Linked DNA regions of Macaca mulatta. The protein of the gene in region 2 purifies or fractionates together with the protein of the main gene of each other region. This does not show direct contact. Links are inferred from orthologs where the notes say so. Each region holds a gene or a part of one and is shown on either strand. Other genes may lie near its edges.

The links. Proteins that work in one complex are often made in the same cells at the same time.
Region 1: the proteins of HNRNPDL (region 2) and HNRNPH1 fractionate together in Homo sapiens (co-fractionation; 3 studies listed by BioGRID and IntAct, with this or other methods). This does not show direct contact. The link is inferred for Macaca mulatta from reciprocal best matches to the Homo sapiens genes HNRNPDL and HNRNPH1.

The regions. Positions count from the first base shown.
Region 1 is NC_133411.1:188,582,048-188,587,303, forward strand, and holds the start of HNRNPH1 (heterogeneous nuclear ribonucleoprotein H), read right to left. Parts: upstream 3,106-5,256; 5' UTR 2,704-3,105; intron 2,060-2,703; exon of another isoform or gene 1,664-2,059; intron 1,547-1,663; 5' UTR 1,516-1,546; coding exon 1,419-1,515; intron 1-1,418. UniProt on the Homo sapiens protein: This protein is a component of the heterogeneous nuclear ribonucleoprotein (hnRNP) complexes which provide the substrate for the processing events that pre-mRNAs undergo before becoming functional, translatable mRNAs in the cytoplasm.
Region 2 is NC_133410.1:51,379,759-51,384,887, reverse strand, and holds the start of HNRNPDL (heterogeneous nuclear ribonucleoprotein D-like), read right to left. Parts: upstream 3,188-5,129; 5' UTR 2,663-3,187; coding exon 2,220-2,662; intron 1,423-2,219; coding exon 1,254-1,422; intron 1,156-1,253; coding exon 994-1,155; intron 522-993; coding exon 390-521; intron 223-389; coding exon 108-222; intron 1-107. Other genes in the region: ENOPH1 (enolase-phosphatase E1), read left to right, coding at 3,802-3,885. UniProt on the Homo sapiens protein: Acts as a transcriptional regulator. Promotes transcription repression. Promotes transcription activation in differentiated myotubes. Binds to double- and single-stranded DNA sequences. Binds to the transcription suppressor CATR sequence of the COX5B promoter.

The sequences.
Region 1 (5,256 bases), on a different chromosome or scaffold from region 2:
CATCAACAACATACAATATTCAAAGCAGTTTCAGAATGAATTTCTCTCTTAAGTCCCTGCTACTTATGTCCACATCACACATCTTTTATCAATTTCTCAGAACATTATCAAGCCTGGACTTTGTGACTTTATGGCAAACCTACTTCGTTGCGAGTTGCTTTGGTCTGGTCTGGCGCGTTTGTCAAGTTTTACCTTACCAGCAGCCACATTACGGTTTCTCATTCAAATCCAAATTACAGGCCCAATACTCACCTGAAAGGGGATCAGTGTTACCAAGCTAAAATGCTCCAAGTTGCACAGCTGAAGCCAAACCCAGCGTTGCCCCCTGCAAGGTGGCTTCCAGTGTACTTGGTTCTTGTTTTACAGGTCGTTTTCCGTTACCAATGCTAAATTCAGATAGTAAGTCAACACTACAAACGTCTTGCCAAAAGCTGTCAATTTCATACAAGTAGAATTTTATCAGTCTAATTTTTCCCAGTCTAATAATGGGAACAAGGACATTCTGATAGAAAATATTCAGGAAACCTAGGGACTGCAAAAACACTTCCCTGGGTTTCAGTGTTTTCAATTGTATAGTCAGCCAAATTAAGAACTAGATGAGCACACACTCTTCAATTACCAAATCTTGATTAGGAAAACTGAAATTAAGACGTGACATTTTAACTTTCCGAAGAATGCTCCTTTTCAAGGAAACACCAGAACTGGAAACAAGAGATTACACTTCAAGATACTGAAAAACATTACTATTATTGGTCTAATTACTCGGCAATTTTCTCGAGATTGAGGAGGAAACCCACCTATGCCAATTCATCTTTTCGCAAAAAGACACCGGAGCCAGGCGCGGTGGCTCACGCCTGTAATCCCAGCATTTTGGGAAACCGAGATGGGCTGATCACTTGAGGTCCAGAGGTTCGAGACCAGCCTGGCCAAAATGGTGAAACCCCGTCTCTACTAAAAAAACAAAAATTAGCCGGGCGTGGTGGTGCGCGCCTCTAGTCCCAGCTCCTCGGGAGACTGAGGCAGGAGACTCGCTTGAACCCAGGAGGCGGGGGCTGCAGTGAGCCGAGATCGCGCCACTGCACTCCAGCCTGGGTGACAGAGACTCCCAACACAAAGGAAAAAGAAAAACGACATCCATAAAAGAAAAGTTGGTGTTCAAAGGTAGTAAAGAAATCAAAGGGTCTGCCAGATCTGCCGCACTCCCCCCGCAGGGCCAGGAGGACGGGCGGGGCTTTCGAAAATTCCATTGCGTAACCGCGGCCGGCCGGGCGCGAGCCACACGGCGGTGAGTGCAGTCGCCCGCGCCTCGCCAGGGGGCGCCCCGGGTCCCGCCGCCCCGCCCCGCCCCAGCCCGGCTGCCCGCCAGCCCGCCCGCCCCGGCCTCGAACTCGAACTCCCGCGTCCTAGTTCTAACTCACCAGAAAAAAACCTCTGCACTTCATCGGCCGAGCAAGACCACGGCAAGCCCCGGACCTTCACCACGAATCCCTCTCCGCCTTCGGTGCCCAACATCATCGTCTCTTACGCGGTCCGGCGTCGAAACAAACTGCAAGGCGGGGAGGACCAGACCTGAGAGCGCCAATTAAGCTGTCCTCCGCCTCCGAGGCGCCCCCGGGCCCGCACCGGCCCCCCCACCAAGCAAAAACCGGGGGGATGCACCCACCCCGGCGGCTCCAATACCCAACACCTCCTCGTCCGGCGGCCGGACCCCCAAAAGCTGTTCTGAGCAGCAACCGTCGGCGCCCCGAACCGTGGGGGCCCGGGCCGAGCCAGCGTGGAGGAAAGGAAATGGCGGCGGCCGCTTCCGCTCCGCCTCCTCCGACTTCTCACACAATAGAGTCGGCGCGGCCTGCAGGCCTCAGCTGCGGTGCCGACATTCAGCGAACCACTCGCGGCTCTCGATGGCAGCCCGCAGCTCGCCAAGGTCCCCGTGGCCCTCCCAGAGGTATGAGGACAACCAATCCTCGCAAAAACGGCGCCCACGGTGGTCGGTGAACTGCAAGCGAGGACCCACCGAGACTCACCCAGAAACCCGACTTCTGCGTGGCTAAGACGAAATGGCCAGCGGGCGCCTGCGCAACCTAAATAAGGCCCTTTGTGCGAGTTCTGCGCACGCGCAGCCAGCTGCCCGCACCGCCCCGTTGCGTCACAAAGAGCTCTGGCGCATGCGTAGTTTCAAGAGCCAGCCCACCGTCCGCCGGCGGATTATTACACGCTTGGGATTTGGGCGCAGCACCCCCACCCATAAACCCGCCGGGCTTTTTATTGCGCATGCGCCTTCCCGCGAATATTGAACTTGGGAGTCTTAGCGGTTTATAATTGTTTCATGCGCATGCGTCTTCCTTGAAACCGTTCTCTAGCCTTACCCGCCAGCGTGGGGGAGGGGAATGGCGGCCGCCTGTTCCCTATGGGACTGTATAGGAGTCCCGAGCTCTGGGTTGAAGAGGTGGGCGTCTTTCTACCCCTTACCCCCTGGCTCTTACCGGTGCGCTCCTGGCCGACCTGAAAGGAGAGGCGCGGCCTTCAGGCGTTCCCACTCCCCGCGCCGCCTGTCTCCCCTTTATCCCCAAACCGGCCGAAGCTGATCAGCCGCAGATGGTCGAGCGTCCTGGGAGCTGCGGGGCTGCGGACGTCCCGCGCCCGAAGCCACCCGGATGGTGCCTGGGGCACGTCCCAGCCATGTGTGCCTCCACTTCCCCTTACCTGCGGTCGTCGGGCCTAGGGCCCCGGTCGGCGCGAGGTTCCCGTGCCTGTGGCTCGCGCCTGTACCCAGCTTTTGCCTAACGAACTCGCACCCTGTGTACCCCTTGACCCGCCTCACGGTCGGTGGGCCTTCCGTGCCCTGGGGCCCTGGCACGAGGAGGAATCGCGAGCGCGGGCTTCTCCACGGGTGCGTGCCGGCCTCTGCCCGGTAGGTTACCGCTGAATCTCCCAGGACAGAATCGGTAACAGTGCGTCCAATCCCCGGGCGTAGACGCCGCATTCGAGGAGACCCCCGGCTCACCCCATGTGCACACATGCTGCCAGATGAGTAATGTTCGTGGTTTCTAACAGCACTGCCCAACACCGAAGATGCCGTAGCCTCCCAGGCCTCCCCAGGTCTGAGCTGGCTGCCCTCCTCACCCCAGCTCTAGTGGACACAGACAATAAACAAATTAACAATAAGGCAGGGTTGGACCTTGCCGCAGGGCTACCTTAGCTAGTGCAGGCCTAAGTGCCACCCTGGGAAGATGCAGACGAAGCATGTTTCCAACCCCAGGGCCACAGAGTCCGAATCCAGTTTTGACAGGTTTGAGAAAAGTAGAGAGGACATCAAAAGAAAGACGGGAGCCCAGAGCTAAGCAGGGCCTGATCTTCAAAAGCCACTTAGGCCTTGGCAAGGATGTTAACTCCGAGAGAAGGCTTTGGCAGGTGATCAGCAGGGGAGCAATAAGCCCTATGCAAAGGAAAACTTGCTGGATGTGAGGGGGATGCAGATGGAGCAGGCAGGGTGAATGACGGTACATGCCATGCCCTCTACTACAAACGGAACTGGAAGCACATATCTGTGGTACCATTTCAGAAAACACTTTGGCTGAGGTAATCAAGAAGAGAGACTCTGGCCAGGTGCGGTGGTTCACGCCTCTAATACCAGCACTTTGGGAGGCCGAGGCAGGCAGGTCACTTGAGGTCAGGAGTTTGAGACCAACTTGGCCAACATGGTGAAACACCATCTCTACTAAAGATACAAAAATTAGCTGGGCATGGTGGCGCACGCCTGTAATCCCAGCTACTCTGGAGGCTGAAGCAGGAGAATCACCTGAACCCAGGAGGCAGAGGAAGCAGTGAGCTGAGATCACACCACTGTCCTCCAGCCTGGGCAACAGAGAAAGACTCCCTCTCAAAAAAAAAAAAAATATTAGCCAGACATGGTGGCATATACATGTAATCCCAACCACTTGGAGAGACTGAGGCAGGAGAATTGCTTAAACCCAGTAGGCAGCGGTTGCAGTCAGCTGAGATCATGCCATTGCACTCCAGCCTGGGCAACAAGAGCGAAACTCCATCTCAAAAAAAAAAAGAATAATAGTGAGGTAGAATAAATTTCATACATTTATAGCCAATGCTCTTATATATAAATTGTCCAACTTATATTAAAACAAGGTTTTTAAATATTTATTTTTTATTTATTATTTATTTATTTTTGAGAAACGGCCTCACTGTCACCCAGGCTGGAGTGCAGTGGTGCAAACATGGCTCACTACAGCCTCTACCTCCTGGGCTCAAACAATCCTCCTGCCTCAACCTCCTGAGTAGGTAGGACCACAGGCATGTGCCACCTTGCTCAGATAACTTTTTTATTTTTCTTTTTGTAGCAATGGGGTCTCATTTTGTTGCCCAAGCTGGTCTTGAATTCCTGGACTCAAGGAGTCATCCCACCTCAGCTGCCCAGAGAAAGTGCTGGGATTACAGGTATGAGCCACCATGTCTGGCAATGAAAGAAGGTTTTTTTGTTTGCTTTTGTTTTTGAGACAGTCTCACTCTGTCACCCAGGCTGGAGTACAGTGGTGCAATCTCGGCTCGCTGCACCCTCTGCCTTCCAGGTTCAAGGAATTCTCGTGCCTCAGCTTCCCAAGTCTAAAGGGATTACAGGTGTGTGCCACCACACCTACTTTTTTTTAATTTTTAGTTGAGATGGGGTTTTGCCACGTTGGCCAGGCTGGTCTGGAACTCCTGACCTTAAGTGACCTGCCTGCCTCGGCCTCCCAAAGTACTGAGATTACATGCATGAGCCACCACGCTCAGCCAAAGGTTTTTTAAAATAAAAAGTTCATCATCAGCCCAGGCGAGGTGGCTCATGCCTGTAATCCCACCACTTTGGGAGGCCAAGGCCGGTGGATCACGAGGTCAGGAGTTCGAGACCAGCCTGACCAACATGGTGAAACCCCCTTTCTACTAAAAATACAAAACGTAGCCGGGTGTGGTGGCGGCGCGTGTAATCCCAGCTACTCAGGAGGCTGAGGCAGGAGACTCACTTGAACCTGGGAGGTGGAGGTTGGAGTGAGCAGAGATTGTACCACTGCACTCCAGCCTGGGCCACAGAGCAAGACTCCATCTCAAAAAAATTCACCATCTTGCCTCAGTGGTCTTTATGTCTTGGTACACTTCTTATAGTTTACAGAGCTCTTTGTTAAGGCTGTTAGCCCTTAGGATAGTTGCCCCAAACATTCTTCTCAGTTTGCCTACCTTTTAATTATTTTTGTGGTTTTGTGGTGG
Region 2 (5,129 bases):
TTTCCTCCCGCTGGAATTGTTTTAAGTTTTAGTTTCGTACAGGACTACTCATATTTAGCAGTATACAGCTTAAACCATGGAGTCATATTCCAAGAATTAAGTCTCACCTCGGCCACGACCCCTCGTACCACCTCGGCCACCAGCCGCAGCACCTCTTCCACCTTTTTGTTGTTGCTGTTGCTGCCTATATACCTCTTTGGGTTGTGCAACTTTGATTTCACACTATAAACAAATTAAAAAACACGAAAATAGAATTTTTACTCAAGTTCTAAAATTTAATCATTTTATTTTTCTCAAACACATTGAGAAATTTCAAAAACTAAAAGATAAAAAAATAAAGAAAAAAGAAATCCTTAAAATTTTCATTTAAAGTACTTAAATGGCTTTACCTTCCCAGAACCAATTTGATGGTATCTGCTTTCTAACAATTTTTTTACTGGCTCTTCATCGGTGTATGTGATAAAACAAAATCCTCTTCTCTCATTTGTTTTTGTATCCATGGGAAGTTCAATATTTTCAATCTGAAATCGAGATGCACACTCAAGGTCATCCCATAATTGTAAAATGCTACCAGAGTGTCAGAATGCCACAGGTACTTTTCAGGCTTCAACTTAAACATGTTATTCTTATCAGGTGACTTCTATACAGACATCACTGCTTTATGATCAACATCAGCCTTCAGTGATTTGTTGTATATTTGAAGCATTGAGAGAAAAGTAAAACATCCTTTAATATTATTTTGTACCCCAAAGATGCCACTAACTAACAAGTCCAAACACCGACCACATTTAAGTGCCCATGTTTTGGCTAAATTAAGATAGTTGGGTTTCCATCAGAGCAGCAATCAAATCAAGGTACAGTCCCTGGAAGCGACTTGAGCAGTCATTTAATCCTACCCTCACACGAAACATGAATCTGCCCTGTATAAATCGGACCAGGATTAAACATTTTATAAACACATCAAGCTTAACATGTGTAAACATAATCACACACCTCTCCAAAGGCTCCAAAATATTCTTTAATTTGTTCTTCAGAAGTATCCGGGCTCAATCCACCCACAAAAACCTTTTTGGGGGGTTCTTTCCCTTTTAAAGCTTTGGCCCTTTTGGGATCTATCAATTTGCCATCCAGTTTGTGTTCTTTCAGTTCCAAAACCTACAAGACAGATTTATTTAATCTGACAGCAGCATATAACCCCCAGAAAAATGTGCAAAACACTACAAAAGCAGCACAATGCAAAACACAGTTCCTACCTTATCAACACTAGCAGCATCTTTGAAAAGCACAAATCCAAATCCTCTTGATCTCCCAGTGACTGGATCTGTTTTAATTGTGCAGTCTACAACTTCCCCAAATCGAGACAAATACTCTGTCAGATCTTTTTTGCTTGTATCCCAGCTCAAGCCTCCAATAAACATTTTACTAGAAATAAAAGGTTTTTTAAAAAATTAACAGTAACTCAAATGGTCCTTCAGTTCTGGAATTAAATCGTAGAATAAAAACAGGAACATTTATCCCCTAAGTGTAAGCAATTTAATCCATGTTTACATTTAATCTATTTCACACAAAAATCCCAATATCCCAACAAAGTTACTCAAACCAGCGGACAGCTCGCTCTCCGCACTACATAAAGCAAAACTCAAAGGAGACCAATAAAATATAGTAAAGGTTCTGCCCAGATTGCTTCAGCTACAAGGCCCAACTTCCTAGATGAATCCCTCACATCTTATCTTAGGTCCATCCTCGTCCTCAGCTGTCAAGCCAACGTTCCACCCAGAGAACTCATCAATCATAATACGTTTTGTGAATCTGGGTACCAGTCGCCTGCTTGTGCCCGAACTCAGAGTCCTCTAAAACTCTTCCCAGGAAAACCGCGCCGAGTGGTAACAGACACACAATGAAGAGGCGTCGGCAGCTGCAGCGAGCGGCGCTGGGAGGCCGGCCCCTCCCCCCCGGGTCCCACGCGGCGCCTGCGCGCTCGGGACAGAGACGCCGCCGCCCTCCTCCTCCAACCCCTCCGCCCTTCCCCCACTCTTCCCGGGTCTCTCCAGTCACCCCCTCGATCTCTTACTTTCCTCTTCCCTCCAAGCTAGTGGGGCCCAGAGGGCACGCGGGGAATCGACTCTGAGAAAGAATGGGGGCAGCGCGCGGCTCACGAGGGACGAAGGGCGCGTGCGGCGCGCTGGGGGAGGGGGAGCGGGGGAAGAAGCGTGCGGTACCCGTCATCCTGCTGATTCTTGCTCGCGTTTATCTTGGATCCCTCTGCGAATTCTTCTATGTTGCTGTACTCGTTCATATCCTCCATAGTGGCGGAGCTGTTGGCAGGGGGGTGCTGGCGCGCAGTCCGGGTCGCGGCAGCAGCGGCGGCGGAGCGTTGTATGGAGCTGGATTTAAAATGGCGGCGGAAGAGATCCGGGCGCCGCCTGCGCCCTCCCTTTATAGTCGCCCCGCCCGCCAATCGGGAGGGCTGCTGGGCGGTGACGTGGCGCTGGGCCCGGCGCGCCCCCTGCCGGGCGGAGCTGGGAGCGAGTGAAGGGAGGAGCGGGGCTAGCTGCCGCGGCGCCCGCGGCCGCCAATGGGAGAGGCTGCGGGAGGCTAAAGTAGCGGGAGCGGAGGGGAACAATGGCGGCGGCACATGGGAAAGCCGGGGCGGGACCTCCATCGCGGCCCTCCCGGCAAGGAGAGAGGCCACGCGTGAGGGGACGCGGGCTTGGGAGAAGAGAAGAATCAGAAGAGAAAAACGAAGGGGCGTAAAGTCCTGGGGTCAGCAGTCCCGAACAGAGCCGACGCAAGGCCACAGTCCCTCTTGCCTTGGGAGCCTTTGTCTCTGGCGTCCGGTCCAGCCCACTCCTACCAAAGAGCCGTGAACCCCGCCTTTTTCTGCCCTCGGTTCGCCAGTGCGGAGCCGCTGCGGCGGCCGCTGCTACCGACTAGCACCGCGGCCGGGCTACTCCGGAAAAAGGCGGACTGCGCCCGGCGCTGGCGACTGAGGCGGCGAGCGCGCTCGCCCGCCGCGCGCACGCGTGTTTTGTCCTCGAGCTGGCAGGAACCAGCCGAACAGGAAGCGGGCGCGCGACGGCCCCTCCGGACAGCGCAGCGCGGGCGTCTCTTCCGCTGTGGCCACGGGCGCGCGGGCCGAGGGGGCGCAGCGAGGCCTCCTGGCTGATCGGCCGAAGCCCGAGCCCCGCGCGGCCTCTCTGGCAGGCTGAGGCCGGGAGGAGGGGCGGAGGCTGGCCAGATGACTGTATCTATGCAAGGACGGAGGCGGTGGGCGGGGAGGGGGCTGGATGCAGTAGAGGGCAAGGGGCACTCACATCCCCGGCGCGCCACTCGCGGGGCTCCCTTCTGCACGTGCCCCGGGCCTCTCCCGCTCGCTCAACCTGTCTGCGGAGGGCGCGCTCTCGCGCATCCTGCTCCCGCGTTCGCTTCTTTGTTCCCGCCCACGCGAGGCCCATTTTGACGGATCGCGTTCGAGGCCCGACGGCGACCAATTGGCGCTGGGCTTTCGCACCCCGCCCCGCCGAACCCAGCACGGCCCGCCCCTTTTCCTGCCCACGTGGTCTCGGGCTCCTGCCCCGTCCTGCTCACGAGTTCAGGGGCTCCTGGGCGGCCGCCTTTTCCAGTGCCAGGTGTGCAGAGGTGTTCTCTTCCCTACGCGCGGCGGGCTGCACTTGGTCGCTGACTCCAAGATCGCGCGGGGCCGTCGGAAGCCCAGGACGGTACCGGGGGCAGCAGCCGCAGCCGGCGCCGCCCTCCACCCTCCCCGACTGCAGGCCGAGTCCCGTAGCATCCGGAAGGGAAATGGTCGTGCTTTCGGTCCCCGCCGAAGTCACCGTGATCCTGTTAGATATCGAAGGTACCACAACCCCGATTGCTTTCGTGAAGGTGAGGGGCGGAAGGGAGCGGGGATGTTACTTCTCCTTAAAAACAGTTATTATTTTTTTCTAAGTATTGCAGGCCTTGCATTAGAGACGAGGGTTAGGAGAGGCGCTGTGGCTTTGCCTCTTCTGTGGAATGGGGAGGGAGGAGAGAAAGCCTGCGGCGGGTGGCGGGGATGCTTTTCCTCGCGGCACTAGCTTCTCCCTCCCCCGCCCTTGGGCTTGGTTGGATCCAGATGGGTGGGAAGGGATGGAAGTTGAAGCTAAAAATCGCCGAAGGGCAGGTAAGCCGGGGCGGGGTGTGACCGTGTGGGCCTCCCTACCCGGCAGGTGTGCACCCGGTCGCTTCCGCCGGTGAGCGCAGCCTTTCTGCTCCGTCGGGCCTGGTGTGGCAGCGGCAGCGATTTAATGGTCCTTGAAGCTTCTAATCTCAAAATGGAAAGACTGAAGTGTCAAGAGGAGTCTTCAGGTGGCCCTGGTGTCGGGCAATCAAGGTTCCTCTTTGCCCCTTCCCACTCTTGCTGTTAGTGGCCAAACTGCACGCTGTATTACTTTACTCTGTTAGGCTCTGTGGTCCACAGCGCTGATTTTTTTTGAGCGATAGGACACGTTTAGATTCCGTTCACTTTCCTCAGAAAACCGTAGAAGCTTGAAGCTCTTATCCAGAGCGTTCCTTCTAGGATGTCATTGTGAACCAGCACTTGTCTGCACCTCAGCTTACAACTTAGCGGATTCCTTCTTTATTCTTTGTCTGTTAGAATAAGTAAATATGAAATGTTACTTTAATTTTTGAAAGAATTCCTCAGGCCTTGTCTTTTTATTTGGCTCCCTGAGGTTTAAGAATTCATTGCAGGCCGGGTGCGGTGGCTCACACCGGTAATCCCAGCACTTTGGAAGACTGAGGCGAGCGGATCACGAGGTCAGGAGATCGAGACCATCCTGGCTAACACGGTGAAACTCAGTCTCTACTAAAAATACAAAAAATTAGCCGGGCGTGGTGGTGGACGCCTGTAGTCCCAGCTACTCGGGAGGCTGAGGCAGGAGAATGGGTGAACCCGGGAGGCGGAGCTTGCAGTGAGCTGAGTTAGAGCCACTGCACTCCAGTCTGGGCAACAGAGCAAGACTACGTGTCAAAAAAAAGAAAAAAAGAAAAAAAAAGAATTCATTGTAGATACAAGTACTTCTTCTTAGAGGTGCTTGCATACACAATCATAGTCGAGATATACAAAGTATATTACAAAGTAGGAAAAA